4 linked regions of the Caenorhabditis elegans genome follow. The protein of the gene in region 2 interacts with the protein of the main gene of each other region in a pairwise test. Each region holds a gene or a part of one and is shown on either strand. Other genes may lie near its edges. The genes, in order: phf-34, F11D5.1, F47B10.8 and C02B8.3.

Region 1 (7,652 bases), 6.6 Mb from region 2:
TGGTTATTCTATTTTTTGCAAATGTTTCAATTCATTCCAAAAACCAGACCGATTTGGAAAAATTACAGGTGAGGTTGAATTGAGTGGATTATTATAAAAAATGTTACGATCTTTATCAAAAGCCAGTTTGCGCTCAACAAGCAAACCGTAATGGTCAATAGTCAGCAAATTTTAAACTGTCTGAAACTTCAGCGGCGCTTTAAAATTATGACTGAATAATGAAATCTGTTCAGAACAAGCACGTCGAACCAGATTTTTCAATTACAAAAGAGTTGCGAATGCTGCGATTGGCTTTTTTAAAATGGAGAGCGTGTATGAGGGAATTATTGCAAGATAATAATATATCGCTAGATGACATGGACCCCGAAGATCCTCAATATAGCTATTTGCAATGGTTAGTTAGTGAAGCAGAAAAAAAGAATAAGGAGGAGGAAAGTAACACTGGAGAACTTTTTGATAGTGTGAGTTGGTTTATAATTATTTTATGTGTACCTATGATGAATAATGTAAAATCATGATTGATAGCATTAACAAATACTGGGAATCGTGATAATTAATTTATTTTATCTTGAATTAATTTGAACAGAATAACAATGTCTCTCAGATATGACGTTTTCAAATCCAAAAACCATAACTTATATAGAAATACGTGTTGCTCCATTTCAACCACTGTTTTAACCAGAGTTTCACTTTATTTCCCAAAAGTTGCAGTTGTGGCACAAGTTAGGATCCTACACAGACAAATGTCGTTCATCAACTGATTTGTGGCATATGGAACCTGAAATAGTTTCTGGAACAGCTTTGAAATTTTTCACTCCAAATCCAACAGACACATCAGCCACATTTGTAAGGGTTGGAATTGGTGCAAATGTTTCTATTGAACAGTATTTCAAGAAAAAATTGTCAGCGGTACCTCAAAATAAACATCAATAGTAGCTTCAGCCATTTTTCTTTCAGGATTCTGAGTTTTTTGGGGCAGATCCGGCTTTCATGGAAAATTCGCAAATTTATTCATCAATCGGGACGTTCTTCCCGTTTGCGGTTGGAAATGAGACTGGACTAAAACAAGCAACACTTAAATTCTCAGTCGGTAAGTAATTGTTTTGGTGGTTTATGAATGTATTTCTTTTAAAGCGTAAATCAGGAGAACTGTTTATACTAACAAAAATTTTATACAAGAAATGCATTTTGAACTTGAAAATCAAAGGTTCCTATGTAAATAAAATTTCTCAGACGTGGACGATTCAAATAATTTTACATTAGTATTGATAATATTTATATGTATTCAAATTTCTTTTAAAACGTTCATGTTTGCATATATGTGTGTGTGTTTGCATATAATATACACTGTTAATAATCTAAACTGTTTCAGAACGAATGTCTTCGAAGTTTGTCAACCACATTGGGATTGACATTTTCTTCAAAAATCTCATTCGAAAGGATATAATTGATTACTTAATTTTTGAAGGCGACGGTGGAGAATACGACATGATGTCTCATCTTGCTAGGAACGGTACACTAGAACAAGCAGGAATATCAGTATGTCAAATCAATATTGAGGTAGACTCTGAATATGACATACATAAGCTCTCGTAATCAATAAAAATTCAGTATCATTTACCAAAAGAAATGAACGATCCACGCAAGGAAATTTTTCGACAGCACATTTTACAGTTCATCAGGTATGTTTCACAAAAGAATACAAACTCCTTTAAAATTTGTTTTACAGAGATAAAAAATACACACTACATTCTGTAACAAATATGGGTAATTTGAGAGTCTTCTGGGTAAACACGTCGTCTTTGGAGTGTGCTCGGAGATATTTAGAAAAAACATTTTTAAATGATATAGATTTAGTATAATTTTGTTAATAAATTGTTCAAGTAACATTTGTACATAGATGAGAAAAAGGTTGAGGACACCTGCCATTTCGTGTTCCTTGCTCGGCAGACCTCATGCCAAAAACTTACAATATATTATATAATAGTGACAATATCAAGAACTTTATGAAATGCGACTACCATAACGTTGTTGGAGTAATAATCTCCGCAAAATATGTTTTGTTTCAATTGTTTCATTCCAAAATCTCAACAAAATCTCAACAAAATCTCATATAAATGGGTTCATGAATTAAGTTTACAAATAAATGCAATTAAATATTTTATCAATAAATAAAGATTGTTCTCGCATATACAGGTAAATTATCAAACCGACTAATAAAATAAATAGGTAAAAATCACATTATTGCACACTGTAAGGACCGGAATATGTATTGGACGGCAATGAATATGTTCGGTTCTGAATATACATAAAATGAAATCTCAGACTGAGAAGGGAATTATGACATCTTATATTACTCGGGTTGCAATAAGATCGATTTTGTGTTGGACAACATGCAGTAACTATGAGAAATTATACTAAAATACAGACAAACGTAGAGTGTAACGAAGGAACTGATTGAAGTGCAAGAAGAAAACTATAAAGTATATGTTAATACTTTAAACACTACTAGGATTTCAAACATCTAAAAAAATTCTAAAAAGCTTCTTATTTAATTTTAAACTGTATCTGATTATTTGCAGTATTTGCAAGCCCATTTGTCCGGGACTTCCTTGGCTTTTTTGAATCCAACACATGTGATGTGATACCAGTCGCCACATCCGACACATCCACAACTTCCGAATTTCGAGGACTTGTCGCAAGTTGGACAGATCCACCGAGTCTGAAATTATTATCTTACAATGTAATTAGTTATGGTTTTATTTTTCTTTTCATACATTTTTTAAATTTTTTTTTGAAAACAAGATGTGAATATGGCAACACATTTATCAGATTCCAAAATTTTCAAAGCGGAGCACACTCAATGAAAAACTAGAAAGTTGCAATTTTATGATCACTTACCACATTCTTTTTCTTTGGGGCTGCCTGCTCAAGGATGTACTGATCAATATCCTCATCGTTGATTTCCTAAAAATAATGATAACTTGATTAGTAATACCACACTGGATATTTTCTTCAAATTTGGACGACTCCTCACAAAATGATTAAAAATGTATAGTTTCATTCAGAATAACTTCTCATCCATTTACGCCATTTTGTTTTTCTTAACAAGAGTCTATACATTTGGTATTTTTTTAAATAAATGATTTTCTTACACGTTTATTTCTGCTCCCCTGTAAAATAGAAAACAACTGAACTCAATACTCCGAAATAATTCTACATCAAGAAAATCATTCATACGATTTCATTCTTGGTAGCCCAAAATTACTAATTCAAAACTCACGATTTTCGGCTGCGGCAAATCAAGAACTTGTTTTTCCTTCACAGTCTTTGCTGTTTTCTTGTCGACTTTCGCGATTTTCCCATTTTTTCCGACTTTTGTCTTTTTTGTACTTCTAATAGTTTTAGCCATTTCCGCTTCCTTTATCTCTTTGCGATGCTTTGCCTGCATTTGTTTCAGTTGTTTAGCCTAAAAACAAAAGTCAAAATTATTAAAACTAATATATATAAATACTTACTAATTTAGCTTCTAAAGCTGCCTTTGCTTTTGCTCGTTCCTCGGAAAGTTGCTCATCTAAATGGGTAGGGCACAATTCTGTCATGTTTTCTATTTCTTCAGCCGTGAATCGACTAGCGGATAAACCGTGTCGAGCGAGACGAATGCATGTTTTACAAGCTCGGAGTTTGTACGGCTCTGGCCCGAATAAAATGGGGCCGAGGTAGAGATGTCCACGTTCTGGATAACGCTCCAGTTGCTCCAAAGCCTGAATTGAATTTTCAATTGTTGAAAAGATGGAAATATATCTCTCCACAATTTTTTCTGATTAATGCTATATTATCGAAAAAATACGATCGCACAAATTTCTCGTGATTTATTTTTGATCTACCTGTTAAAAGTGACTCCGCCCCCAATCTTGTTGCCGTTGTTATTTTGTTGTGGTTGTCTTGTCGAAGGAAGGGGAGGAGCCTAGTCAACAAGGTAGAACAAAAATAAATTATGAGAAAATTGTGCGATAGTATTTTTTCGATAATATAAAATTTGAAATTAAATATTGATAATTCAAGTTTTTGGATTTATTTTCTTGTCTTGCACAATATTGAAGTGGTTGTTTGAACTAGTATCCAAAACTTCCAAATTATATATTTTGTTTAATTTTGTGGGATTAAAAAATAAGCAATTACCTGTTCCAAAACAGTAACCGGGCCAGTGCACAACTCATCCATAATGCTGTCATATCCACGCTCATTGCTGGGACCAGGAATATTTGGATCCATTTTTACCTGCAAATATGAAAATTGAACTAACTTCAAACAGCAAACGAACAAAAACTAGATTCTGTGAAAATAGCAAGCGTGAAAGCAGCAAAAATAAAAATAAAACAATTTGGCAAAATGTATCAGAATAGGATGGCTTTTGCCTGTTCGAACTGTGTAAAATCGATAGCAATCGAAATCACTATAAACTATTTAAAAACAAGTTTTAAGAGTATACATCATGTGAGAAGCACATTCCGTTTGACGAACAGGAAAAATAAAAATGAACAAATTCAACATGAATAAAATGAGTGAATTGTGTCTGTCTGAATCGAGATGTCTTTGCAATAGAAAACCAAACGAGAAGAAGAGAAAAGAATATACACACATCCATACACACAACAACGCGGCAGTCCTCGGAAAGCAGGGAGAGACTAGAGGCGAGAGGTTTTGAGAAATGAAGAAATCGCCATCGCTGTGTGTGTATGCGAGAGTGTGTCACGATTGACCATGAAGTGTGTGAGAGACTGAGACATTTCGCTTGGTGTAGCGCGAGAGAAAGAAGAAGTTGGTGGATATTATTCGTTCAAGAGTATATAAGTGTATACAACTGAAAATTGGACAACGCATCAAAGCGTGCTCCTTTATGGCTACTATCGGATGCTGACACAATTTTGTGGAGGGAAACAAATAACATTAACAGAATCCAGTTTTTCTGGTTTCAAATGAAAGCCTGATTAGTTGCATTTTGGTTACAAGAAAACAGAAAATCTTGGTTCGGTTTTCTTAAGCACCTGCCTTAGGAAAACGCCATTAGGTGAAATTTTATTTATTATAAATCAAGAAGACAAGTCAAACCAAATTTTAAATTTCAATAAAATCGAAAATAATTACAGAAGTAAAATGGATTTTTTTTTTAGTAAAAAGGAAACGTATGCTTTGGGATTTAAAAAATTGAACAGTGTTTTTTGGTTAGTCTGGCATGCAAGAAGTGCAAGACTACAATTTTTTATATTAACTCAGATTGAAACAACTGAAGTTTAGGTAAAAAAGTGACACAGAAAGCATTAATGAAAATGGTAGTTGGTATGTTATCAAAAATTATTTTTTGTTTAAAAATACCTTTTTGCTTCACTGGCCACTAAAAGTGATTGAAAAACTTTTTCCACTTTTTCCCATTTTGTGAGCACAGTGTATAGTTGTAGATTTATCACTTGTGCGTTTTCTTAAGGGTGGGGTACCTCTGATTCCGAATATCGGTGTGAAAAAAATATAAAAAAAGCCCTTATTTCATATTTGAGCTTGTTTGAAATCGCGATTTTCATTTGTGCCCGGGTCTGTTAAAATTATCTTTGGAACGCGTTCGCCTCATTTTACTTTCTCCAAATAAGTTTTCTTTTTTCTGTTTTTAAGCTAGTTTTCTCCATATTTTATATTATTTTTCAAAAAAAAACGATAAAATACGATAATGAAAAAAGCTGAAAAACGGTTAAAAAAGTAAAAATATATGGAGAAAATTAAATGAGGCAAACGCGCTCTAAGGATATTTTATTTCGGCGCGTATTCAAAAAAGCAGACCAGGGCACAAATGAAAATCGCGATTTCAAGCTCAAATATAAAATCAGGGGGTTTTTTTTAAATTTTTTGACATCGATATTCGGAATCAGGGGCAAATTTGGAGTCATTTAAAAATAATCCCCAGATTTCGGTACCCCACTTTTGGTACTTGGTCACATAGTAAAAATATTTTTTAAAAAACTGCATAAAATTGAGGAAGTAGGAGAAAATTTTACTGAAAAAAGTAAAAATGCTCCTATCGACGTAGTCGATAAAATTTTCAAATTTTTACTTTTTCGAACCGTGCTATTTATCATTTTGAACAATTAAAAATATTAGAGGCAATAAATCATTGAAACTTAATCGAGAATCGTAATTTTGGCCCACACTATATCTTTCTCATTAAACTCAATTCGATCACTTGTACTTCGTACAAAACTAACAGAACAGATACAATTCTGGAGTAATGCGGTGTGTAGTTAAAACAGCTAGACTTTTGTAAAAGTTCGAGTTTCGTTTTTTTTTTTGCATTTTTCCGGATTAAGAAACACAAAATTTTTTCTATTAATAACTGATCTATTAATTCACAAAAAAAAATTCCAAATTTGTGAATTTCTGACAACCTGACCGCACCGCCATTCCTGATGTTATTTGCATGAATAATAATGTTTTGAGATTGCTTGTTATTACAGAGGTGGTCCATAATTAAGGTGACCTGCTGCACGCGCGCAAGAACTTGATTTCTGGGGTTGCCCTGTTACCAAAATTTTCAAATTTGCATATTATTGAAAGTTCACAATATTTTCTGTCATTTAAGTCAGTTTCCATAAAACTTCCATCAACTTTGAAGGTAGTGAGAGCCTTACAACATCGGGAATCTATAATTTTCCTCCATTTTAGAGAAGGTCTAGAGCCGAACGTCTCCTGCTGCGCTCATGTGATCAAGTAACTAGTTTCTATATTTCGAATAATTACCAAGACTATGGGCACTCAAAATAGCCTATCCCGAGTCGAAGAACATTCATTGTGCCAACTTATGTTTGGATTTAGGTAGCTCTTTGCCCCTTTCAAAAAAGTGCAATTTGTCAGTTGCGAAAAATTTGCCCGAAACAGTCATTTTTCACAAACGATTGTTGTGAACTTTTATAAACAGTTTCAATTATACAATTGATTAGTCAATTTTTGCGTAGCTCCCCGAAAAACCAGTGGGAGGACGCTCTAAGAAATTCATCTAAATTTTTCGAGAATAGTCTTTTGATCAGTTTTGTTCCCAACTATTAAGATGATTGTTTTCCAACAGGCTGTTAAAAAACAAGAAACATTTGTAGTTTCTAAAAACTACCCGAACACCGCTATTGAACTATTTTGAAATCCGAAAAACACGATGATTTGCGCTGAACATGAATTCAACAAATGGGTCACATAAATTTTAGTTTTTAATTGACTTATTGTGAATTCGGTGGAATATATCAAAATATTAAAAACCAAATTGACATTTTAAGTTAAGACAAATTTAAATTGATTACATTAACGCTTTAAGCATGAAGGATAGTTGCCTGATAAGGAAGAAAAATCACAACATTTGGGGGAGCTTTATTTTTTGACTTTATCAACTTTCACCAGATGTCACTTTCGTCAACGGTCACCAATTCCGAAAAATGTTCTCAGAAAAGCATTGGTGTAAAAAGGGTATTCTGATTATATAATCATAATAATTAATCACTATACAAATGTCATTTAAAAATCTCCATTAGGCTAAATCGATCCTACTCGAGCGCCACCGTCGAATGGAATTTGAGTGTCTTGAGGGCTGTGTGACTGGAGCTGGTGATAAGTGTAAA
Region 2 (8,128 bases):
ATTTTCAGTTATTTTGTTTGCAATTACAATGGTATACCTTGTGCTATATTACTGCACGAAATAGAAATAGTTGTTGGTTTGTACATCTCAAACGGTTGCGTGAGATCTGAGCAACTTTTGTGTTCAGGTCGATACGAAAAATGGGAAAGGTTTTCATAATCGGACGACTGTTCGAGATTGAAATTTCGTTTTCTCTCGAGTGACCTCGACCAATTTCTCTGCTGATCAACTCCCGGAAGATTTGTATAGATTACTTCATTTTCCATGGGTTCCGGTATTCTTGGTATAGTGAAACCACTTTTCTGTGGTCTGTAACCATTTTTATTCGAAGGTACTCTTTCACTTTGAGTTCTAGCTATCCTTCTTTTCAGACTTGAATCTGGCTTCTGAATGTAATTGCGAACATATGCAGAGCCGAGTCTTCGAGAGATTGGAATTTGCTCCCTAGGGTCAAGGTTGTGGTATTCCGACGGCTCAAAGTTACTAGGTTTCCAGAAATCTGGGATGTACAAAGAGTGACGTCGTAAATTCATTATAACATTTGTTTGGTGTCTGAATAGAAAATAGTTTGGAGAAAATTTACTCGAGTCGAAAAAGAGCTACAACGGGCACAAAAGCTGAGTTTTGAAGTACAAGAATATATTAAAAATAAGTCGCTAAGCAAACTATTTTGCTTTTTAAAGACGAGCACCAAAATCTGCTAATCGTAAAACAATGTGCATGTTGAAGAGTGTTGGTCATTCGGAAGAAAAAGCGAGGAAGCCTCTACAAACCTGTGTTTTACGGGCAGGGAGGGGCAATCAAGTGAGCGAGAAATGCATGAGCGTGAGCTAACAAATGACCGTATCAGTGGCACTATATTCTTGAGTGCTTTTTCGGATGGGCACAAAATAAGTGAAAGAAAAGCTCTTGAATGGATACGGAAAATCAACGAAAAAACGAGATGAAGACGGAAAGATCACTAAGTTCGGGGTTTAGAGTTGTTTTTATAAATTGTGGCATTATTGTATGGCAAGCTTTATCAGATCGCCTAATTATCAAAAAACTGCTTCAAAATATTTAATTCTACAGCAAGATTGCGGCATTTTCTTTTTAGGTTTCATGAAAACTAGTGCCAACATGTGGAAATATACTTTATTGGTACGTAAATTATTTTTATTTTAGATGTTTCAGTATGTTTATAAGTCTGACCATATGAAATACTCCAAAACTTTTTATTTAAATTTTTCAAATTCGTCAGTTAAATGTTTTTGGTATATTGCCAAAATTTTCCAAAATTCGAGTATTTTTGAAAATTTACAAACACTGCTGCAGATTTGAACCTCTAAAATGTTTTTTTTTAAATAATGAAAACATGAATGAAATTTATAATTTGGAAGAAAAAAATGGTTTTCGATCGACTTCCAAAATTATGATAGGTCATTTTTGACAGCACTCTCAAAGTGAACTGAAAAATGTCAACTGCCAAAAAAGGAAAATTTTCCGGAAATTCTAGAGATTTTCTACTGATTTTTTAGACAAAATAAAGACTATTTTCCGTAAAGATTTCCACATTTTGAAAATAAATTTTCAATGAAAAATATCTCAGAGCGCACCCTGAGGGAATCGCTAGGGAAAACTAACAAAACATATTTTTACAAAATCTACTGTTAGGAGAAATTAGAAAAGGCAAAAAATGAATCAACGGCTACTGGCAGATTGGAAAACCGAGTATAGCACTCCCGGCAAAAAATCTGGAAGGAAAAAGGATGAACCTGTTATTTGTTTTGCATAACATTAGCCTTTTGGTGTTAGATGAAATAAATACAAGCGCCGGTAAATACAGCAAAAAGTATGCATGCGTAACTAGCTACACCACTACTAAAATAATGCGAAAAAAAAACCAGGCGACCCAATGTGGTTATTGAACCGTCATCTGCAATCTCCGAGGAATAAATGTAGGGGAAAGAGACAAAAAAAATGAGATCTTAGATGTGCGGCTTGTGGAGAGATTCTGATATCTACGGTGTGGTCGCATTCCAATTTGACACAGATTTTACATGATGATTTTACATGAAAGACGAAAAATTAGCATAATGTGTACTCGTTTTTTTTTGTTTACTTTCTTTTTCTCATTTTCCTTCTTGTTTGGTATTTCTCGGTTTTCAAACTATACTATCAAACATTGATGATACGAAAACTAAAATGCAATAAACGTGCGAAATGTTGAGTTGACATCATAATCGATAAGCAAGAAAAAAAAAGAATATTTACAAATTTTCTTAATTAAGATCAATATACTTTATGGAAAAGCCGTAAGAAAAGCTGTGCTAGTTGAGGCAAAGAACGGGAGAGAGAGCTCGAGTTGAGCAAATACATTTGTGATCTCAGAGATTTCGCGTGAAGTTTGACACATGCCGGTAAGGAAGGAACGCTAATTACGTGAAATCAAACCGGAAGGGAATCACATTCCACGTGGGTGCGTTCGAATTGAAATTAGGCAATGATCCTATTGGAGATACAAAGAAAAATACAGGTATATATGTACAACGTATTTTTTGTCAAAATATCTATTCTTCAGTTAATTCCAAATTTTACTGCTTTAATCATAAGAAGTTAATTTTCAATCATCAAATTTTTTTGGAACTTGTTCAAGAAATCTCAATACTGATGGCAAAGTAGAGTCATATTGGAATTTTATTCAAAATTAAAATTAGAAAACTGTTCTTTACTTACTTAGTTACTTAGATAATTTTTCATAAAATATAAGTTTCTAAGTTATTCAGACATCCTGCCTGTAAAAAACTTGATAACTCGGAATTTCGCTAAAACTTTGAAGTTGGCTTAAAAACCAATAATTTAATATGAATTGTTTTTTTGCGGAAAACTACCTGAAAACTTGACAAACTGTGTTTTAAATTAAATATTCAAGAAAAACGAAAAACCGTCATAATATGTCGAAACTAGGTCATTCATTTCCGCGCTACTTCATAAAAATAATCATCTAATGTTTTTTTTTTGCAAAATTAAGAAAATGTAGAAAAATTTAATGAATTTTTTCAGTTGCATCGGTCATTACGCTCCATTTCCAATAATTTTTGCAAAATTCCAAGACGACTCTACTACAATGTCTTTTGGAATGTGAATTAATTTTTCATTTCGGAGTCAATGAAATCAATGCAGCTTTAGAAATTTTGAAACTTAAAATAAATCAAAAAAAGATTTTAATGTGATTTCAGCAACGCATTTTGAACTGTTTCAATTTTTCTACTTTCATGTTTTGCAAGAGTTTAACCTATATGTTTTTCTTTTTGTTTAGACAACTGGGCAAACAAATTCAGTTTCGCTGACATGATGATGACTAACTCAAGTCGTCATTTTATTTTAGAACAATTGTCATTCACTCTCATTACTTCTCGACGAAAGTCATGGTGCCACGTCAATTTCAAATGAACTTTTTTTTTGAGAGAAACGTGTTGTAAAATGACTCACCACTATTCGGCGACTCCAAGTTCCCTCCAACTTCCGAACTTTTCATCTTGAAGCCGGTGTCAGCTGCAAATTGATACGTTTTTTTTTTTTAAATAAACATCTATTTTCAAAAATTCCTAATAATGAATTAACAAAAATTAAAAGTCATAAAAGTTCAAATGCAGCAAACGACACGGCACGCTCACCAAACAAAATGCACATTCAATGGGAGGTTATTTGGTGCGTGTGTTGGTGATAAGATAGTAAAGTTATCACTGTGTGAACGACGGTAGAGGTTTAGACAAAAGAACAACTATCAAACAATTTGAACCGATTTTTTACTATTATGGAGCGCTTTTTTTTATGAATCAGAAAAATAAAAGTATTGTTTGAATATATCAGTGCTTACATTTCTTGGTGTCGGTATCTCTGATTATAATCGGACGCCTTCTTATCAAACGCTTTGCTGCATTGTCCTGCTGAAAATGACAAAAGTGGGTGGCAGTTTTGAAAGAGAAGTTATTGTTGGTTAAAAAAAAAATTACCTTGAGGAAAGGGTTTTCCGCAATGTTTCCATTGCAATCCATTTCTTGTTTTTTATTTTGTTTTTATGAAATACTTCTTTCAAGGAACAAAAGTTTGATCAATCGTTCGTTTATCTGTAAAACAAATTAGGTTTAAAATACTTTTGACTGTAAGTTTTCAGAGCAATTGCAACATTTTGTTAATTTCGGTTTAATAGTCCAGAAGTTCGACATATTAAAAAATATTTAACTGGTTCCAAATTCCAAAACAATAGTTTTTAGCTAGCGGAAAAGTTTCATTTTTTATTTCACTGAGGTTTTTTTCAGGCGTTGAGATTATTCTAAAATTTACCTAACAATAAGTTATTTTCAAATCAACAAGATAATTTTCTATTGCTTCACAATCATTTTTGTCCTTAAAAGTTGGACGAAAATTCCAAAATGTGATAATTTTGTAGGTGTGCTGAAACAATTTAAAAAATGATTTTTTAAAGGTCGAAAATTTCCGAAAATTCCGAAATATCAGAAATTTTAAATCTCGGCAATTTCCAAATTTTTCCAAATTTGGATATTGTTAAATTGTCAAATTGCCAAAATGTTTGTAATTTGGCAGTTGTTAGATATAATCTGAAAATTTTTTAAGCATTTTGTTTTTCAAAATTTTCAAACTCGACACTGAAAGCCAAATATTCCAGTTGCCAATACTTTTTTGTTGTCGCTCACTTAGTTTTTTCAAACAACAATATTTTTTAAATCAAACTGCACTTCAAGTTTGAAAAACCCAAATGAATTTTTATTTATTATGAATATAATTTTCAACCATATTTTGGTTTCAAACAACTTCATAATAAAACACTTACGTGGGAAACTTTTGCCGTTGCGCAGACTTCGTATCCTGTGAAGGAAACTGAGCGATGGCAGTGGTTTCCAGTTTAGTGGTTTTCTGGAAATAAACGTATTATCGAAAGTTGGTAATTGGCAGTCAAAATAAACGGAAGTAGACATCGACAGTTTTGAAACACAAACCAACCAAAAAAGGAAAAAAGAAAAGACAATTTTCGAATTGTGGCAGAATTAGGTGCGTTGAAGAAGACGTTGAAAATGAGGAAGACACAATTGAGGACAAAAAGAAATTAAAATTTGTTACTCACATGTGTGACTTTGTTGTATTTTGATCTCGAAGTGTTATATTTGAGAGTATAGGAAAAAACAAGTGTGGATTTTTCAAAACTATTAGAATGAACAGAAGGACTGATGTGATAGCTGAAGAACCCACATTGTTTCCACTAGTCGAACCGCAATGATCTACGAACATTATCTCATAGCGCCGCGCAATTATTCAATTATTCCACTTGCAATGATCTTACGAAATGAATTGAATAGTTGAAATAGAATACAAGAGAATCTGTTAACCCATATTCAAAAAAATCCTTAGTAAAAAAAATATAAAATCTTACGAAATCTACACAACACGACACGATTGTTGGGCAGGAGGACGGCAGCGAAAAAATGGTGAATAGAAAGGTCAGACACGGTGGTCCGCAAGTGACTCGGTATGCAATTACACCACACTGTCCACACTGTTAATTATTCCCCTTTTCATATGCATATTCCACAACTGTAGACTTTTTTCTTCTGATTACAACGGAAGGAAACATTAAATGACACACATTCACAGATTTCGAAGAAAAAGAAAAAACTGTTAAGATTCATTACCCATTGTTCGAAAAAAAGGGGAACGTGGTGGATGAGATGGAAAGGTGGATAAAAATTGTGAAGTAAAATCATAGAAAATAAATTATATAGTTTTTCGATTAGTCTTGCACCATCATTGCTCAACTTGCACGGTTCATATTACCTAGACTATCAATTTTGTGATTTATTACGCTAAAAGTAAGTACACGGTTTTGACACGACACATGCTTATTCATTGCACAAGGGGTAGTGCGCCTTTAATTTTTCAATGATTTTTCGCAGTTTTCCAATAAAATTATGTATATTTGTCTATTGAAAACTTAAAAGTGGAGTAGGCCAGTTTTTATATTTATTTTTTTATAGTTAATTTTTTGGAAGGAGTCGATCAAAAAAATGTTGCATTGAATTTTGTTGTCAACTTATGTACGTTTCAAATACTAGTATTCAAAGATTGTAGGGATTCGAACATTCGACAGTGCTACGGATTTCGCAAAAAGTGGTAATACTCAGTTATTGCAACTTTTTGAAACAAAATAAAATATTTTCCAAAATTTTGTCGAAATTGTTTTATCACAGTAAAAAAATATACGACTTTTTCACTGATTCTCAAAAGGAAATTCACTCGGAAGCATCGAACAAACAAAAAATTCAAAACTCTAAACTTGACATAGAAAAATAGAAACTTTCGTATTGTCACCTGACCTACATCAATATAGGAATTCAAATCTCAAATTCAAACAGAGTCGTAAAACAAAGTTGCGGTACTGTTTGTGTGAACGGTTACCAATGAAGAAGCAAAGCTCAATGAGCACATGTAAACTCACACGCCACACTACACTTTCATCTCGTCAGTAATTCGGGTTAACATGGCATGACGCCCGCTCGGTGAAAAAGATCAGGGAAGATCGCATTTCGGCAACCGGAAAAAGGACTAGCCGCTTGCACTGTGGACCGATACTGCGCACACGTATGTGTGCTTGCTTTCACATTTCACCACTTTCTCTCTCTACCTCTATTTCCTCTCACTTGTCTCCTCACACTGACTCAATTTTTGCCATAATGTATGTCTCTATTTGTGCTTCTGCCAACATTTGTAAGAATTCTTCATCTCTCGGGAAAAAAATCGAACTGCTTCGGTACGTGTCCGAGCAGAACTCTTGTTTAAAAATGAACAAAAAATGGGTGGAAAAGTGTTAAAGGGCGGACAGAATGCTTTACATGCTAATACGCATTATCACATTCTTCACGCCCCATCTTTAAACACCTCTACTTCATTATCGAAAACGAAGCTAATCTATGCGGAAAACTTGGGAAAATGAAGACTACTCGTTACTACAAAAAACTAAAACAAAAATGTTGTCTGTCCGTTTTAGTTTATTTTTCAGTTTCTTTGTGCAAAAGTAGCATTGAAAACTTTTGTTGGAAACATGATTCAACAAAGATAGTTGTCCGTAAAGTGTGTTCAAAAGGAATAGTAGATACGATTGGAACAAACATTGAAATATGTGAAATATGTGAGGAGGAAGAGGAAAAAACAAATCAGTGAAAACTTTGAAAAACATGTTTTATTCTGAAACTATTTAAGCTCATTTAAGATTTTGACAGATTAAAGGTAGAGTAGCGCCAGTTGGAAAATTGTTGAAAACCACTCCCAAGGTGCCAAAGGTGTAAGGTGAAAGTGGCAATTACTGAGTTTTTGCCACTTTTTGAGAAAATCATAGCACTGTCGTATGTTCGAATTCATTCACAAATGAAATATTAATATATGAAACTTAAGCAGATCATAAAATTCGAAGGAAAACGTTTTTTTTGAATGAAGACATCTAGTGACTAAAATTGAATTTTGCTTACAATTAGTTTTCAAACAATCAATATTAATTTTAAAGATTTTTCGAATTTCGCAGTATTATTTTTAGTCACCGTGGTGCCATTGACAGGTTTTTAGGCAATTGTTTCCACTGGAGTGCTCATATGCTCCAAAATATAGTTGTCTAATATGACCGAATATCATAGTAAAATTCCAAAAAAATTTGGCTAAATATTTCAAGAATGTATACTTTTTTGGCAATTTTGAAAATTTCTGCAGGTGTAAATTGCTATAATTCTTTAAAACCCGAACAAAAATTGTGGGCTTCCGAAATTATCTCTGAGTCTTCACCGCTTTTAGAATTAACACAACACAAATTTGAACATTTTTTCGAAAATTGTTTTACTAGATATTAATTTTGGTAACAGACAAACTTCAAATAATTTTTCATATGGCAAAACATTTATACTCAAATGACTGACAACACACAATGAACCGTACAAAAACTTTGTTCTCATGTTAACACACGAAAAAACACATACACTTATGTCAGCGAAAAGCATCAGACACATAAAATTACAGTACATTACGCATGGGATGAGGATTTTGCGCGAGGAAGATGATGGTGATGATGTGATCGAAAACTGATGGT
Region 3 (11,080 bases), 7.6 Mb from region 2:
CACCCGCAGTTTTCCGGACAATTAATTGTACTGTCCTTCCCGAAGACCAGCGCCAATGATAAAAAGATGACGTCTTGTTCACGGGAAGACACGATACTGAATGGGTCATCTTTATATCCAGGGAAAAGATTTAGGTCAACAGCAGCAGCCCGTTTGTCCTTGTAAATCCGATCGGGCTGACGGCGCCCAACGGCACTACTCACAGATTTCTTCACGTTCAGTTCTCCCTGTTTTGTACTTTTTGGATTCTAGTCTCGTTTTGATGTCTTGTTTGATTTAAACCGTGTTTGATAACTAAGTAAATAGGTGTAGTTTATTTCAAGGCCTTTGAAAAAGTCAATCAATTTGCAATTTGAAAACCGCTTCGAACTTTTTAATCTTTTTAATCTATTCATTAACCTAAAAATTTCAACGCTTTCTTATTTCAGAAAATGTCTCTTCAAGAAAAGTTCGACGCTGCTGTGGAAATCATCCAGAAACTTCCAAAAACAGGTACGTTGGACTTTGATTCGCTACAATGCTACAAACTATGCTATGATGTAGTTGATTCAAAGCTAAATTTACAATTTTTCTAGGACCAGTTGCCACCAGCAATGATCAGAAGCTTACCTTTTACTCTTTGTTCAAACAGGCTTCTATCGGAGATGTGAACACCGATAGACCAGGAATTTTCTCCATCATCGAGAGAAAGAAGTGGTCAGTTTTTTTTTTCATTATTCCTTTGTCTGATTCGAAAAAGGGGAATTCTTTTTTTCTTATTTCATTGACAAATGAGTCATGACCGCGTGGCTAGCTAAACTGCATCAGAATTGCGTGAGTTATGTGTGTTGATTTTTTGACCGCAATATATATTAACTTATCGCTATGCAACAAATGTCGGCGTTGTGTCTGCAAACGATGCAATTATCATTTTCTTCGAATATGGTGCCACAAAAAACGAGTAGGAACGGATGATTGTGAAATTATCAATAAAAAGTTTTGAAGAAATGTAGAGTGTCGTTTCTGATCATTGGTCTCTTCAAAACCATAAACTATGTTTGAAATACCCCTTAAAAATAACACGAAGCCTGTATTAATGTTTTCACGTTTGTAGAAACATGGATTCAAAAAATAATTCCGTTCATGGGTACTTGTGTAGTTACTGTATCCCACAATGTATGCAATGGATAAAATTCCAAAATGACCACAACGTAAATAACCATTTTAATGCTCAATTCATTTTTAGGTTTAGATTTTTCCTAAGTCTAAAATTCAAAAAGAACTCATATTGTATTTTTGAAAAAAATTAAAAAGATTTTTTGGTGTACTGATATTACACAAGTACTCGTTCATGAATAAAAAGAACGAACCCATCAAACATATGTGTTGGTGGAACATTATTTCAATGCTGGCGATAGTGAAGGTTTTATTCTAAAAGGCAATAATACAAAAAAGGCAATTTAAATACAAGTATTATTTAAAATCAGAAAGTTTCAAAAGAACGAGTGATCGTATCTAATTATAACAGTCGTGATTTTGAAACATCCATAAAAAGGTAGTATATCTTGTAATGTTTTCTATTTATTTCATTGGCTGGCGCTAAAAAAAAAGTTGTAAAAGTGTGGAGTGCTAAGATCGCAATTCTAAACAGACTGCTGGTATAATTTTTCAAACACCGATTTTTAGTGCACTTTTAATAGTACACATTTCTAATAAAATGTACAATAGTAATTGAAAAAGTTAGATGGGTCAGTTCCAATAACTCAAAATAGTTTAACTACTTGTCTGAAAATGGTACGTTGCGACTATTGATGTTGAAGCCATGTAAAAATAACAATTAATTCCAACTGGCTCACAGTATTTACTGGCATTTTCCTGACCAACCCCAGTTAATCCGATTTCCAGGGACTCATGGAAAGAGCTCGAAGGAGTGTCTCAAGATGAAGCTAAAGAGCGTTATATCAAGGCTCTAAACGACATGTTTGACAAAATCGCCGAGGTATGTGAATGGGTCTTGTCGGCAAACGTTTGAAGTTTTTGTAGCAGAAACTAGTAGTTACGTTCAGAATTACTTTGTTTTCAGGAACTTGATGTTGCCGCTTGGCTTGAACAAATTGACCCAGTCATCAAAACCAACCTCGCTCTCATTGGAAAGTAAATCTTAATTATCATAAACATTTTTTTTTCAAATTTCGAACAATATAATTATTTGTATTGCTTCTTGATACTAAATAAATATGAATTAATTTTGTAAATTGAATAACTCTATAGTTTTACTGTACATTGGAAGAATCTTGCATGAAAATGAAAACTATGAATTGCATTTGTAATAGTGAAATTTGAACATTGTATGTATACATAATTTTTATTGCAGTAGAGTTGAAACTGTGAATAAATTTTAAATCCACAATATAAAATAAAAATGAAAATCAGACGAGCACCCGAGAAGGAAATTAAATGAATTCGGAATACATAAGAGATCAACATAATGTTTGTGTGTAAGAGATAGTTCAATAGAAAGCACGAGGTTAAACATTTCAGATAAAACATTGCAAAGGTTATAAGCGTTCCTTTTTATCCATTTCCTCTCTCTTCTTGTCTTCCTGGTATGCAAAAAACTGAAAAGTGCGGTAGACAACATGCAAAAATATGCAATTTATGACTATAACAAACGACATGGCAGCCATCACACCCAGTGTGACCAGGATTGCAGCTGAAAAATTTTGAAGTATAAATATTCACAAGTAGTATAATCGTTCTCACTGGTAACACTTTCTCTTGATCGGAAGTGATACTCATCTGGATTTGATCGCAAAGCTTTAAGATTGTCGAGGATGTTCCTGTAAATATAGTTGTTTTTAGTTTGTTCCGAGTCTGTTAGTTCCCAAAACCTCGATACATCACTAGTTCCCTTCAACATGTGGTACACAAAAACCAGGAACAAAATTATCATGCCAAAGTTCCATATTACCTGCAACATAATTATACGTTTCATGAAAAAGAACGAAGCAAAAAATAAACATACATTGTAAAACAAGTACGGCTTCAGCAATCCCGAACGTTGCTTTGAGACACCACAAAACAGAGTCAGCAGAGAAATGCAGTCGAATATAAGAAGGAACGCTTCGAGATATCCTGCAAAAAAGAAAAATAGAGAAAAGAATTATATGAATGAATTACAAATTGGATTTTGAATAAATTTAGCAAAACAAGTATGCAAATAGTTGGTATAAACAAGAAATTGTGACGTGCTTACCGTTTAGACCGAGTTTTGAGATGCCCATAAAATATAGAACAAGGTTTATGATAAATCCTAAAAAGGCAAATACTGCAACTGCTCGGCACGCTTTCTGAAATGTTGTTGTTGTTTTTTAAACATTATATTTCAACTTTCTTTTATTATCTGCATCGTAGAAAAACTATTCAAATCACATTTATAGTCAACAATTTTTAAAAAAATTCACACATTTTTTTGCAGTCGCTTATTCTACTTTATCTGAAAACTGACTATCTGCTGAAACCAGTAAAAGGGAACACTTTATATGCGAGCTTACTTGAATATGACAAGAATTGCAGCAATAACTGTTGGGAGGAATGGGATCTTCCGTGAAACCCAGGCTCACGACAGTTTCCCGTTGCGGCGTTTTCATTATTCCGTTTCCGTTTCCGTTTTCATTTCCGTTTGCATCTGCAAACATAACAGTGTAATAGTAGAGATCACGATAGTAGATAATATTTCGGTCCTTGCTCATGAATGCTCAGAATGTGCCAAAAGTGAATGCACAACATCTTGGAAAGAAAAGATTCAATAACAGAAGTGTGCGTCCTAAACAATGTTGAAATTGAATCTTGACCACTTTTTACTAACTTTGAGAGGATAAATGTAAAAAAGAACTGAGCATTTTTTTATGTTTTTAAAATAGAAGTGTAGTAAAGAAAATCGACTTACAATGCGGAATCTTGATAATTGGACAGTCAGGGTTATCTGATTCCAAAACAACTGAATACGGCTCAAAATTCATCAGACACAGGATGGCAGAAAATAAATCAAAAAATGAAGAAAATTTTGTAGAAGCTTCAACAACTCCGTGCACAGAATTATTTATTCTAGAATAGCGTGATAAAAACGATCGTTTTTGAGTTATCGGCAACCTTGAATATTCTAGTATCAGCAGATTTTCAATTTTACGCAGACAGACTTTTTATCCAAATTTTGATTTTTGAGGTGAGCAGTATATGGATATGCATGTGTGTTGTTTTGGGCACGTCTTGGATTTAGAAAAAAACATAAATCACTGCCATTCAAGCGCTTCGTCTTCTTTTTTACTCGGTTGAACACACCACAGGTGATCATTTAAACACAATTCGGTTTTGAAAAATTAAATATAATTTGAGAACTGTTGATGAAATGATGATTTTGTTGGGAATGATGATGAAATAAAAATCGAAGCCGTAAGTGCTTGAAAAATTTTTTTATTAAATATTTTCACAATTGATTTTACCATGTCCATTTGCCATAGTATTTTCAAAGCATACATATTTTAAATTTTTGGAAAAAATATTGGAGGCTTTGCGTTTCTCCCCGCATTTAATGCACCACCAATTGCTCCAATCGTGCTTTGAAAAGCTCATCTACCTTCGGCGCACTTTTCACGCCCTTATCAATGATAGGTGGCGCCTATTAACCGATATTTATGTGGTCCAATACGTCTTGCCTGGTGGTAGATCAGTTGGGGAGGAGATGTGTAATGACGAAAGAATGAGGATGGATATTGAGGAAGAAAAGGTAGGTGAGAGGCAAATAAAAACAGGAGAAGAATCCATTTATCATTCGGAAGCCTTTTTGTTGATAAGAGTTTACACATTAGAGCTTGAAAATGAGTGATTATGATTGCGGAAAGTGAGAAAGAGATTGAGATTGTTGACTTCTGATAGTGATATTGATATCATCAGCCACAACAATTTAGAGTAGAGTGAAAGCATAGGGCATGCTACTGCTATAATTTAAGACTTTCCGCCAATTTCTTCAAATAAAAAGAAAAGAAGAAGGACCTCCCAACCGGAAAGTATCAGGTTACCTGGTGGTGGGAGTAGAACAACAAATGAAAAGAAGCAAAAAGAAATAGAAAACACTTGTGATAAAAACGACTTGTTTTGTGGTGGAGACAAATCCGCTAAAATGTGTTCAGTTTTACCACCGAGACAGATTAATGTGGATTGATGGTAATCTGATAAGTTACAAAGTTTCCATCTTTGATAAGCAGGTTAAAAAACATTTTAATATTTAAAATGTTCACGTAATGTGGAAAAGTCTACGTTGATAGAGATAAATTACAAAAAAAGCTCACAAAGCTATATGGTTGTTCAACAGGAAATAACTTAACAGTGATGCTATCGGATTCTTGAAAGATACACTTCGAGGAACACATCCGAGTGATTTAAAAATACATCACTCTAGAAATTGTAGTCAGAAGAGTAAGCTACCTAGTAGTCATCCTTCTATTTATTTCTATCTCATTTGTATTACCTTTTAGAACGATGATGCCGGGAATCGAATGAATATTATATTTCTTCTTCATCAACAACTTGGGCATACTCGAAGAACGCTTCATGCCATTGTCATTGCGCATTCTTCTTTTCCAATTTATTCGATTCTTATATTTACTTTTTTCACGTTTTCTTCTTTATTTTTATTTTTGAAAAAAACGAAGACGCCTATTATGGAATAGAACAGAATCAAAATAAAATTGTCAGTTCTTCTTTTTTCTCGAACACACACACACGACGCAATTTCTTTGGAGAAACCTTGCGGCTTCAACACTTCGTGTGTGTGCCGAAAACAACAGTTGATCCGAAGATTTCTTTCATGGTGTCAATGAGATTTGGAAAAGGGTGTGCGTGCAAAGAAAGTAAGAGTTGAGATAGAATACGTTCGAGAAATTTAGGAATATAAGTTGCCTTTTAAATTTGTGAAACTCGATTGACACTTTACTTTTAACATGAGATTCCTTTGAAACACTTTGTTCCTATTTACTTGTGGAATGTATCAGAAAAAGAATTGATGGGGCGTATGCTAGTTTAAAGTACGGAAAGAAATAATCTTATTTTTTGGTAAAAAATGAAAGTTTCAGTTCAGATTTCAAAGTTAGTTTATCTAGATTATTTCAACTAGAGAAACATTTTTATTTTCTATTTCATGAAAGTTTTATTTATTGTCTGATATTGTTTTGGAAATGTTTCTCGTTTTCAGTTTGAAAATTTTTTACTCTACAATTTTTGAAGTGTATGCTTTTTTTTCAGGATTTACAAGCCGACGATTAAGAGGGAATCGGCATCTAGAATAACTTGTGAAATTTCAATATCAAGCAAAAGTTGTTAAATTATCATTTTAATTTTAATATAAACATGTTCCTTGAAATTGATTTATAACCAATCATAGATTCACGCCATTACCAGCCAAAACGTTCGCATAAATTAATAAAATATTTTTCAGTTCAAGTATTTTTGAATCTCATGTGATATATTCTGTCTTAGTCTTGATTGATAAACTAAATTATGATTGGCTTGTAGTGATGCAAGGCTATTAGAGGCTGCACTACAAATAGAGAAAATGCAGTAACTATCTAACTTGTTGCAAAGTAAAAGCAATGTTTCTGAATATACGAGGAAAAAATAAATAAATAAAAACTTCCCATTTCAGCACCAAATGTTTGAAAAATTTAAATCTAACTTTGAAGTAACAGTCACTTTGTTGTCTAATTGTATTTGTCACTTGATTTCACACCCATTGAGTAATTATGTTTCCTGCTACTTTGGTCCTTAAGTTCTGCCAGACCCTGGACTCTAATTCAATGAATATCCACTTGTTAACCGCTAATCGACCCCGCAGATGACACAGCAGCGAAATGATCGATCATCGTTCGACAAGGACCCTTTACGTCGGCTTGTCTTGTCGGACGTGAAATCCTATGTTTGTTTTAAACCGAGATTCATACTTTAACATCCGTCACTGGTCCGATTAGAGAGTACAAATGGGAAAGGAGGGCAAATGAGAGATAGATGTTGCTATCACATGAAATGATTATTGGTTGGACATGCATGTGTGTGTGTGTTGTGTGGATAATAGTGATGAGTTCTAGGTTCACAAAAATTGTTGTATGGGCGAGAAATTGATGAAATGTATCAGACAAATGCAATGAGGTCAGCTGCTTTTGAAGCAATCTTTTTGGATTTAAGAAGGAAGTTCGAAAAATAAATCTTGGAAGAACCAGAATTTTTTTGTAGCAAATTAGAAAAGTGAAACCAAATGTTTTTCAAAATGTATCAAAGTTCAAATTTTCTACCAACTAGTATAAATAAATTTTGTTATTTTTAGAACTGGGCAGAGTAGTAAAAAAATTGGAGTTGATCGTCATAAAGAAAGTTACAAAATTGGAGAGTTTACACTAAATTATTACATAAATATCCATAACGGTCAAGGAACTACGTAAAGCTAATGAACATACAAAAAATAAAAGGTGCTTGTGTATTATAACCCCATATTTGTAAAGTTTAACGTTCAGCCTTTAAAAGTGACATTCGTTTTAATTATTAGGCTCAAGAAACGATATTTTCCAAGCCTGATAATGACAATTCTATTCACGTTTCAAATAAGTTGACAAATAAAATAATTACTGAAGTACCGAATAAAATGACTTACGTGATCGCAATGATGTTTGTCTCGGCTGTCTTGGAAGACGATTTGCCGTAGGCATTAATGTATTGCCGTATGTAACAGTTCTGGGAGGTGGCGTTGGCTTTGGTGCGGACACAATTTCTTTTGATATCCCATTTTCATCTTTAGATCTTTCAATTCGGATCGATGGAATCGAATGACACTGTGCAATCGTTGGTGCTGGAGTTGGTGTCGGACATGGCGGTGTCCTCGCATTGCGCGCCATTTGAACTGAACAGATCTCTTCGGGTGGGTGTGGTCTCTTTGGCACAGACACACGGATATCAAGGAGGAGTGCGAATAAATGCCTCTACCACAGGCAGCTCAAACTAATTGTCTTACACCAACACAACTGCTGTCACTATCGGCGCTTTTCACTAAACGATGAGCACCTCGTTGGTGCTTGATACCAGGTACAAAATAAAAACAAAACTCTTTTTTGTTTGCTCTTTTTGCCCCTACGTCTCGTCTTCATGCCACCGGTGGTGGTCGCGAGAGGTGAGAAGTAAATGATTTATGAAATTTATGGTAATGGATAGGTCGGTCAAATCTTGCATCGTTTATACGTGCACTTACCTAGTCGCGTTTTGAGAGGAAAATATTGGATACTTTTTTCACAGAGCATGAGAGATTCAAGAGATTTGCACATATTATCATTGAACATTAACAGTTGTCGTTAAAAAAAGAATTAACAATGCACACCACAAATAAAGCGTTGTAATTTCAGGAAAATCAAATATTTAGCATGACTCAAAGCTTAACGGTCTGGAATTATTAAAAACGATACAGTAATTTGACTATGAGAACAGCTCAGCTGATCGAAGAAAAACAACTTTTATGAAAAAGAACGAAAACAAAATTATTAGGATGAATTGATTGAAGTGAATAGCCGTTTTAAAACTCTCAACCAAACCTTTTTTTAATGATTAGCGGATTAGAGAAACGTTTTGACAATGTGGTGCATATTTAAATGATGACAGCAAAAGTAATACATATTTAAGTATGATATAAAGTCAAATTTTGGCGCTCAAAGTGAGAAAATATTGTGTTCCACGCATTCGAGACCTATGCCTTCGTTCAGATTTTACGAGTTAATTTTTATTAGCCAACTGGATGCGGGGTTATAAAAATTTTCAAATTCTCCGCAGCTAGGTTTTAAAATTGATTTTGCCGTATTTCTAAAAAATTCAATGCCAAAAAATCACCAACAGAAATTTATCAGAAAATTCCATGGTTTAGATTTTTAAGTAGATGGTGAGTTTTGTGACTTTTCAAACAGTTTCTCAACCGTACTGTTCCAATTTAATTCCAGGCGATGCTAACACTTCTAAAAAAACATACAAAGTTAATTATAACTCGGTTATTATTTCAACCAAATATTATTATTAGTTCTAAAGAATAAACTGACTTTTGAAATCATCCTTGATTTTATGAATCCTACAACCTATACATATGTCTGTTATCAGCGGCTAAAATACCTTTTTTTTGTTGTAAACTTGACTTTTTATTTGTATATTAATAAGATTACTTATGAAAGAACTATTTCCCCAAATTTTGCTATACAATTTTACGGTTATACGGTAGTTTTGTGTGAGAAAAAAACCAATTCAGTTTAAATCCTTCAATTATTTATTGTATAACCATTATGAAATATTGGTACAGTTGGGATATTTTTAAGTGTCTTTAAGTTGCAAAGGTAAAGAGGTGTAAACAATACAAATACAGAACACGCAAAAATGTACAGAAAACATGGTTGAGCCACATGAGATGAGATATACAGTTTGAAGTATTCAAAAAGTATGAAAAATCAATTTTCAGAAAATACAGGTTTTTGTCATACATTAATCAGCAGACGAATTTAATAACTTGTTCAATTATAGGTTGTTCAAAAAAATAAACGAGCTCGAGTATCATTCCAATCGAAAAACGATTGGGCTCTTGGTTGATAGGAGTACTGAAATATAGAGTGTTTAGTTTATATTAGTTTTTACCTTGCCTAGTTATCATATTTTTGTAACTTGTTTAGAGTTAAGTTTAATTTTTTGAACATGGATTAAGATTTTTTCAAATATAACATAAAAACCAAGTCCAATACTTACTGGTCTGAAATGAATGATTCTCTCGGCAAAATAACTGCGCATGTTGGCATCTGAAATAGCGGCTACTGCTTTATCAACCAACGAGATGTTTTCGAGCCGTGCAATCTTCTTGAAAATTGGATCAATATCACCGCTACTGTAAGAGTACTGGTTTTTGCCTTTTACTGGGAAACGTTTGACTAACGCGTAGCACTGCGTGTGAAGAAGGTAGCAAAGCTGAATCAACGACTCCGCATCGTACAACTCATTTTTGAAGTCATCTGAAATTTTTAATAATTTCGTCACATTTGTTTGAGAAAGTGAGTTACCGCTTTTGAAATATTTCTTGATTTCTTGCTTAACCCATGGGAAGATGAGACGATCCGAGAAGTAAACAAGAGGCGTGATGTTTTGTTCTGAAAATATCGACTGTGCTTCATTTTTAAAAACGAAAAAAAAATTACGATTGATAGTGCGGTCAAATTCAAATCCTTCCGGGCACACGTATGATAGGAACACCACAAGTTCATCTGTGTATACATCATCAAGAGTTACTTTTTCGGATGTTTTTTCGGTGTATGAACCTGTGCGCAAACTGAAATGTTTAATATGGGATCTTAAGTTGAATACAATTTTTTTCACGGCTTCATTGGGTTTTAGTTATAGAGTTTCCCACATTTTTACAAAAACCAAATTTTTTGTTGTTCCTTTTAAGTTTATCAAAGTTTTAAAATTTAACTAGAAGTAAAGACCAGAGTAATAATTTTCTTCACCTAAAAGTAAGAAAAAGCTGTCTTCTAAGCACATTGGTATAATTTTTTTGTTTGTATGTGAACCTTTTTTCTTATTTTTGGTTTCCCTAGTTTTGTGGGCCAACAGCCGTTTCGGTTTTTGAATTTATTCTCAAATTTATTTTTTTTTTTGAAAATCATCAAGAAAAAACAACTTCCACCTTCCAGTTTTGGTATAGGTCAGGTGAAAACAGTTTTACTAAATTTTTTCCATGGACTCATTGAAGTTGGAAAACCGCCCGTTAAGGAAAAAATTGAAAATGATTTCTGATTTTAAAATATTCAACTATAACTTTTCAAAAACATTTTTAAAAAACGACATTTTTTCCAACTCAAAAAGGGGTGACAACTCAGTTTTTACCTATTTGTTTTGGAAGTCGTCGAGTTTCCCCGCCTTTTTAAGTCTAAATAAAAAATATTTTTGTTGGTTTTTCAAAGATTATTCTATCTTTAAAACTAAATGTGACAATTAAATATTCATAATTTTTTTCAATAAAAAAACTTACATATGAAAATAC
Region 4 (6,385 bases), 4.8 Mb from region 2:
GATATTAAATTTTGATGTTTTTTAAAATATTTAAAACTAGCAGAATAACTCGTATACTCTGTTGACATATATTTGTTTGACACATTCAAACAATATCCGTCCATTCCGTCCATTCGTGTCCATTTATTTTAGAGATATGCGATCGGAACAACTGTTCAAAATTTTTGCCGTTCTCTAATATGCAATACAACAGATGGGTCTGTAAAAAAAATGATTGGCACAACAGAAATACAGCCGTGATTAACACTGAAAAGAATTGTTGTTGGTGTATGCTTAGTTTTCTAAAGAATGAAAAATGAAAGCACGCAAAGTTCCGAAAAATATCTAGGCAACAATTGGTGCATGAAAAGTGTCAACTGAATATGTCTGCAAGCTCACTGCTGCACGTTTAGAACAATGTCGTATATACAAAGACATAACTTTAAAATACAAACATTCGAAATTAAAACAAAATACAATTTGCAAAAAAAAATTCCCTTGGCGCTACTTCTCCGTGAAAAACGCATAATTACAAACTGATTAGCCACTCTTCAAACTTAACAGATAGTTTTTTTCCATCTCATCTAGTTTCATTATCCCTGAAAATGTGTATGGAAACGTTTGTTTTCCCTGACAAATGAACATTTAAAATTTTCAACGAAATCATTGCATTTGAACGATCAATATTTTACAAAATAATGAAGCTGAGCTGAATGATTTGAATATGTTGTTGAGCATTTGATTACTTGCATATTTTTTCGATCCTTCAAATTTCACACATATATAAAATTTAAATAAATAAATTCCTCGCCCTATATCTCTTAGCATACTTAAAAAGCTCCCCCAGTGAGCAACTTTCTGACGCTTTTGCAACCGCACCAGATAATTTTGTAATTTCTCTAATTTGTCTATTCAAGTTCATGATCAACGGTTATCAACGTTATCCTGTGTCCCCGTTCCAAAACATCGGTATTAACATTTGCGTGGAACTACTCACATGCTCACTGAGCTTGAATAAAACTTTCTAAGCCTCCAAAAGTGCACCTATATGTTTTAGATGAATAAAATTAAGCCATGGTAGATAACGTTAGTTTTTCTTGCAGCATTGGGCTTTGACGCGTTTGTCATCGCTTCAGATTAAAAGTTTTTTTCCATTGTTATTGAATCAAGCAGGACTGAAAGATATTCAACTCAAAAACAATTGAAGCATTCAAAGGAAATGATGATCACAGGAATTCTGCAAATTTTGATAGTTCCCGTCATTTTAAGCGGGATAAATACTGAAAATTGTGATGTTCTCAATTCAAGGATTATTTGAAAAACACAATTAAATTATTGGAATTACTTCCGCAAAACTACAAGATTAAATTTCAATAAAGATGTTTTAGAAGATTTTTTTTTCAGGATTTCTTGGAAGCAAAGTGAAGAACAAATTTAGTTCATTTCAAGTTCGTTCTGTATAATTTTAATTTTTATGTTTTCAAAGTTTTTTATTATTGGAATTGATAAGTCTAATTTAAATTTTTATGTATTAATGTAAACTTGGACTTTCATCGACATTATGCTCTGCCTCAATGCTTTTCTTATTCTGGTTTTCCCATTAAGAACATAGCCTATCCACGTCACAGTAATGACCTTATTGATTACTAAAACAAGTTAAGCGAAAATTTTTTGTTGGCGTCTGTAAAACAAATCTGTTCGTAGTTGTTATAATTATAAGAAACAACTTTTTTTATAGTTTGGAAAACAACTCCCCATGCAAATTCTTTATTATGTACCCCTGAAAATTTAGCAATAAAAACTGCGGTAACAGTTCACATTTTTATTCTGATTGTTTGTAGCCTTACTGCAACAATTCTTGTGAAAATTATAAATAAATTAAAGGAAAAAGGGCATTCTTTGAACGACAGTACAGGAGAATTGAGAGAGTGAAGATGTTTGGAACATTCTGGAAGCACGAGTGAGGGCACGGTTTCGAACAACAAGGAGTAGGAGGATTGGAGCACAAATTAGAAGTTAACAGCTGGGATTGGGCCCTTGTTGAAGTCAAGAAAATCCGTCAACGTTTTCGGCAGGTTGCAACCGTCTCTTTGACACAAACATCTCAGGCTGACTTGGGATGGGTGGTTGGCTTTGTGGAACTGGAAGGCCTGAAATAAATGTCTCATTAAAATCTGTTTCAGTGTTTCTTTCTGTATTGATAGCTTACCTCTTGTAGACAGACATTTAAAACAGCGTATCCTGGAAGTTGGTTGGCAAACATTGTCAAAATAGTGGTGTAGTCGTCGCTGTCCATTTGAACTCCATTCACGTGGAACTTGTTGTAATCTTTTGGGGATGGCATGTAGCTACATAGTTGGTACACGGGGTCACTCATTGTATGACCTTTGGAAAGGTCGTCGGAGTCAATGGGCTCCCAGCAACGGATGAGCTTGGTGAGTTGATCTTGGGCATCTTGGACAGCGTTCATGGCGGTTGAACGGGAACCGAAGGCAGATGCCAAGACGAGAGAAGATATAAGGATTTTTCTCAACATCGAAGAAGCACGAAAGAGTTAAGCTGTAAAAGAATTCAGCTTTTGGCGAATACTGTTCTCAGCGCTGTTTGAATATGAAAGCTGAAAGGGCGGAGCAAGAATTCCATAAGGCGGGGCTTACAGAGTCTTTGGAAAAGAGACGTATAAGATATAAGAGAAACAAAAGTGCAGATTGAGTGACGAGGAGGATTGCAGGGATGAGCATCATATGAAATGAAACATCCCGCCCACTTTCGAAGTGTACATGGCACAAAACCGGTTACAGTGTGTACCTGGCTCTGACGTTGCCACTCCGTGACTGACACGCAACAGAATCTGGAAAAAATTTGAGAAAATTATCACTTGTTATGTCAGTATCCAAAAAAAATGTTACATATCTAATATATAATCAAGCGTTCATGTGTACACAGTCGAAGCCAATTTCTAATGCATTAGTTTTTGGCTGAACAGAAGTCGAGACAGCTTTGGATGAGCTCAGATGTTTTTGGGCTAATACGTCACTATATTAAGTTTAAGAAACTATTTGATACAAAATTTATAGAGTTAGTTTGATAGTTAAAGGAAAGAATCCAATTTCGGGGGAACATTTGAATTGTACTAACATCTAGAAACTCATTATTTTCAAAACGAATTTTCCAAAGTGGTGTAGTATAGGATGAATGATATGTGTTATGTTGGTTAAACGAGAAACATTCTGAATCTTTTTAAAAACTATGATTAATTTTCTCCCAGAAAACAGTGTCCTTTTTTGCAGTACCCATTTTTGCCATTTTAAGTGATACGAGTTGTGTACGAGACCTTACGATGAACTACACAATAAGCATGAAGTGTTGTGGTGCATTATATTGAGACAAACTCAATCTTACATTCATTTCAAAAATTATTGATGCACATATTTTGTTAATTAACGCGTTTCATAAAATATGTACACACTCATATATTTTATCAATTTCGCACAATGTTAATAGTTTCAAACAAACTTCCCATTTGTGATAATTTAGCTTCAATGAAAAAATCTTAATGTGCCCCTTTTTTATCTAACGAAAATCTGAGAAATGTTAACCGAAATTCAAAAAATCAAATCTTCTTTTCATTAGATTTTTTAAACTTTACCTAATTAATCCCTAAAAACCTTTTGCAATTGAAAGACTGAGAATAGAAATAACATGCGTTGATAAGCTTAGTTATTAATGTTTCTGAAGCTTTTCTAAGTAACCTCATAAGTGGCTTTTTTTCGTTTTGAGAGAAAATTAAATACTGCAATTTAGTAGCCTATTTTTACGTGATTTAAAAAATATGAAGAAACGTCAAAGCATATTACTGTTTTATCTGAATTTCTAAATTAATAAGCATGGTGCTCACAAAACAAAATTAATCATTTCGAAAGTCATGAAATAACGAATCTGCATTTGACCAGCGTGTGTTTTGAAAAGCAGGCATAGGAAGCCTTGATAATGTTCCATTCAATAAATTTATTAGGGCTGAACTTGTGCAAGAATCTGCAGATAAATGCCGATTATTGACTCCGACAACCTTTCCAAGGGCTATACAGCGAGTGACCCCTTCTTAGATTTTGAGAAAAATCCTAATATCTTCTCTCGTCTTGGCATCTGCCTTCGGTTCCCGTCCAACCGCCATGAACGCTGTCCAAGATGCCCAAGATCAACTCACCAAGCTCATACGTTGCTGGGAGCCCATTGACTCCGACGACCTTTCCAAGGGCTATACAATGAGTGACCTCGTGTACCAAGTTAGTAGCTACGTGCCATCCCCAGAAAGCTATAGTACCGTGTAAACGAAGTTCAGATAGCCAGCGCCGACAACATCAACATATTTTAAAAGTGTTTCTATGAGACACTCATTTCAAGCCTTCCAGTTCCACAAAGCTAATCATCCATCTCAAGTGAGCATGCATGTTTGTGCAAAAGAGACGGTTGCAATTTACCAAAGACGTTGACGGATTTCCTGGATTTTAATATGACCTCAATTCCATCTGTTGGTTTCTAACACGTGTTTTCGGTTCTCCGATCCCCCTAGTCCGTGTCGTCCAATTCCCTTTCTTTTGATGTACTTCCAGAATGTTCCGAACATCTTCAGTCTCTCAATTTTTCTTTATTGTCGTTCAATTAATACTATGTTTCCTTCAATATTTTTACAATTTTAACAAAATTTGTTTCAATAAGGCTATAAAAAAATCTGAATAAAAATGTGAACCGTTACCGCAGTTTTTATTCTGAAATTTTCAGATTCAAAGAAGCTGCTTGGAGATAGAAGAGTTTCAGTTCAATTTAAAAGGTTAAATAGATTCTTACGGCGCTGAACTCGGTAATTCTACAATATCGTCATTCCAAAGTGCACAAAATCAGATTTGATTAGCTCGAACAGATTCGCTTCATAGAAGCCTACGAAAACTATTGTTTGACTTGGTCGTCAAGCAACGAGAGCATCACGGTGACGTTGCATTGCTTTTTTCTTATTTAAAAACACCAAAATAATCGAAGCATTAGTGCGGAACAAGATATCAAGAAAAGTACAAGTTATTTTCGATACATCAACATTTTGAAATTAGACTTCTGGAAATTTTCAGATTTAATCGTTAGCATAAAACTGCGCAGAAGTCTTCAAAGTTCTTTATAAAATGAGGGTGACGTCACAACTTTCTAGAAAGTGAATTTGTATCGATTCCTGACTATCAAGTGTGAAAAATTTGTCTGACACCCTACCACTCTGTACATACGTTCGATGTCTTTAGACTCCACATTCCTATTTGCTTTCCATCACTCAGCAATGATTCCTGTGTCTCCTCTTCTCTCTCGCTCAACAGAGTGAATATGCATTTGTCTCTTCGGGGTCACTCTTGTTGCATATCGATAGTACGTGCACAATGTATTTGACGACACATTGCAGACATTAGCACATTTGCATGTTTTCAATATCATTTTATCAACAATTTCTAAGCAAATTTTAGAAGAAATGAATTGTGATTTAACACAATATGTTTATCAGTTTAAAAAAAAAAATATTCGTACAGTACACATTGAAAAAATACAATTGCATGCAATTGCTACTGATAAAACTTTGATAATGATTGTCTAAGCCTTTTATTGCGAAACTTTTTTTTTTGCTAAGTGTTACTTTTAAACCCTTTTCTCACTTTTTATAAATGCAGTGAAATATAATCGATTTCAGGTGTATAATGACCGACATTTGCACAATCTGCCATAACACGCCGAACAGGCCAGTGCGGCTTGATTGCAATCACGAGTTTTGCTACATTTGCATCAAAGGCTCTATTCAAAATGATATGCTCAACTGTGCCGTCTGCCGAAGACCATTTGATAGCTCCATAATTCTAAATTTGAGCGCTCAAGTTTGCTTGAAAGGCGATGCACCAAGAGATGGTAAGATTTTGTTTGGATATGATATGAAAAGATTCATCTGTAAAATAATTCAGATAATCAGAAACACTTTCTCATTAAGAAATGGAAAGTACAAGAGTGTAAAATAGGAAAAAAAAACATTCAATTTTTTTCTGAATACTAATTTCCTAGACATCCAGAAGCTAAACCAAAAAACTAACAAAAGTTATATGTACCTTTTATTAGTCTTTCTTCTAGAATAAAACAAGGTTTCAGTTGACGACGACGAAGAAGAGGTTCAGGACGAGGAAATCGACGTGAAGCCTGATGTCAACTTGTTAAGAGGTGCCTTTTTTTAGTCAAGCGCATTACTAAAATAACAATTTCCAGCGGCAATGAACGCAAACCAAAACGGAAACAGAGAACTCGTGGCTGCAGCACCTCATATGAACAACAATGGAAACTGTAATATTTTTTTAAACTTGAAAATTTCCATGGCTAAGTTGTTTTA

What was found.
Region 1: the proteins of F11D5.1 (region 2) and phf-34 interact in a two-hybrid assay, tested with the Caenorhabditis elegans proteins (one large-scale study listed by BioGRID).
Region 3: the proteins of F11D5.1 (region 2) and F47B10.8 interact in a two-hybrid assay, tested with the Caenorhabditis elegans proteins (one large-scale study listed by BioGRID).
Region 4: the proteins of F11D5.1 (region 2) and C02B8.3 interact in a two-hybrid assay, tested with the Caenorhabditis elegans proteins (one large-scale study listed by BioGRID).

The regions. Positions count from the first base shown.
Region 1 is NC_003284.9:9,895,196-9,902,847, forward strand, and holds phf-34 (PHD-type domain-containing protein), read right to left. Parts: upstream 4,282-7,652; 5' UTR 4,276-4,281; coding exon 4,183-4,275; intron 3,765-4,182; coding exon 3,519-3,764; intron 3,470-3,518; coding exon 3,284-3,469; intron 2,968-3,283; coding exon 2,902-2,967; intron 2,723-2,901; coding exon 2,573-2,722; 3' UTR 2,149-2,572; downstream 1-2,148. Other genes in the region: F21G4.3 (Methyltransf_21 domain-containing protein), read left to right, coding at 1-68, 234-461, 712-909, 958-1,090, 1,373-1,560, 1,612-1,682, 1,730-1,862.
Region 2 is NC_003284.9:3,329,915-3,338,042, reverse strand, and holds the start of F11D5.1 (PH domain-containing protein), read right to left. Parts: upstream 4,920-8,128; 5' UTR 4,835-4,919; intron 4,110-4,834; 5' UTR 4,038-4,109; coding exon 3,996-4,037; intron 3,930-3,995; coding exon 3,860-3,929; intron 3,535-3,859; coding exon 3,472-3,534; intron 984-3,471; exon of another isoform or gene 767-983; intron 1-766.
Region 3 is NC_003284.9:10,902,850-10,913,929, forward strand, and holds F47B10.8 (MARVEL domain-containing protein), read right to left. Parts: upstream 7,968-11,080; 5' UTR 7,920-7,967; coding exon 7,679-7,919; intron 5,798-7,678; exon of another isoform or gene 5,610-5,797; coding exon of another isoform or gene 5,507-5,609; exon of another isoform or gene 4,002-5,506; coding exon of another isoform or gene 3,929-4,001; exon of another isoform or gene 3,732-3,928; coding exon of another isoform or gene 3,668-3,731; coding exon 3,534-3,667; intron 3,330-3,533; coding exon 3,236-3,329; intron 3,115-3,235; coding exon 3,005-3,114; intron 2,951-3,004; coding exon 2,871-2,950; intron 2,820-2,870; coding exon 2,743-2,819; intron 2,693-2,742; coding exon 2,538-2,692; 3' UTR 2,331-2,537; downstream 1-2,330. Other genes in the region: acbp-3 (Acyl-CoA-binding protein homolog 3), read left to right, coding at 432-492, 576-696, 1,885-1,978, 2,063-2,137; F47B10.9 (BTB domain-containing protein), read right to left, coding at 9,579-9,647, 9,793-9,928, 9,977-10,052, 10,101-10,187, 10,236-10,366, 11,069-11,080.
Region 4 is NC_003284.9:8,135,646-8,142,030, reverse strand, and holds C02B8.3 (DUF5354 domain-containing protein), read right to left. Parts: upstream 2,555-6,385; 5' UTR 2,450-2,554; coding exon 2,189-2,449; intron 2,130-2,188; coding exon 1,989-2,129; 3' UTR 1,788-1,988; downstream 1-1,787. Other genes in the region: C02B8.7 (uncharacterized protein), read left to right, coding at 4,152-4,310; putative RING finger protein C02B8.6, read left to right, coding at 5,712-5,916, 6,151-6,219, 6,265-6,339.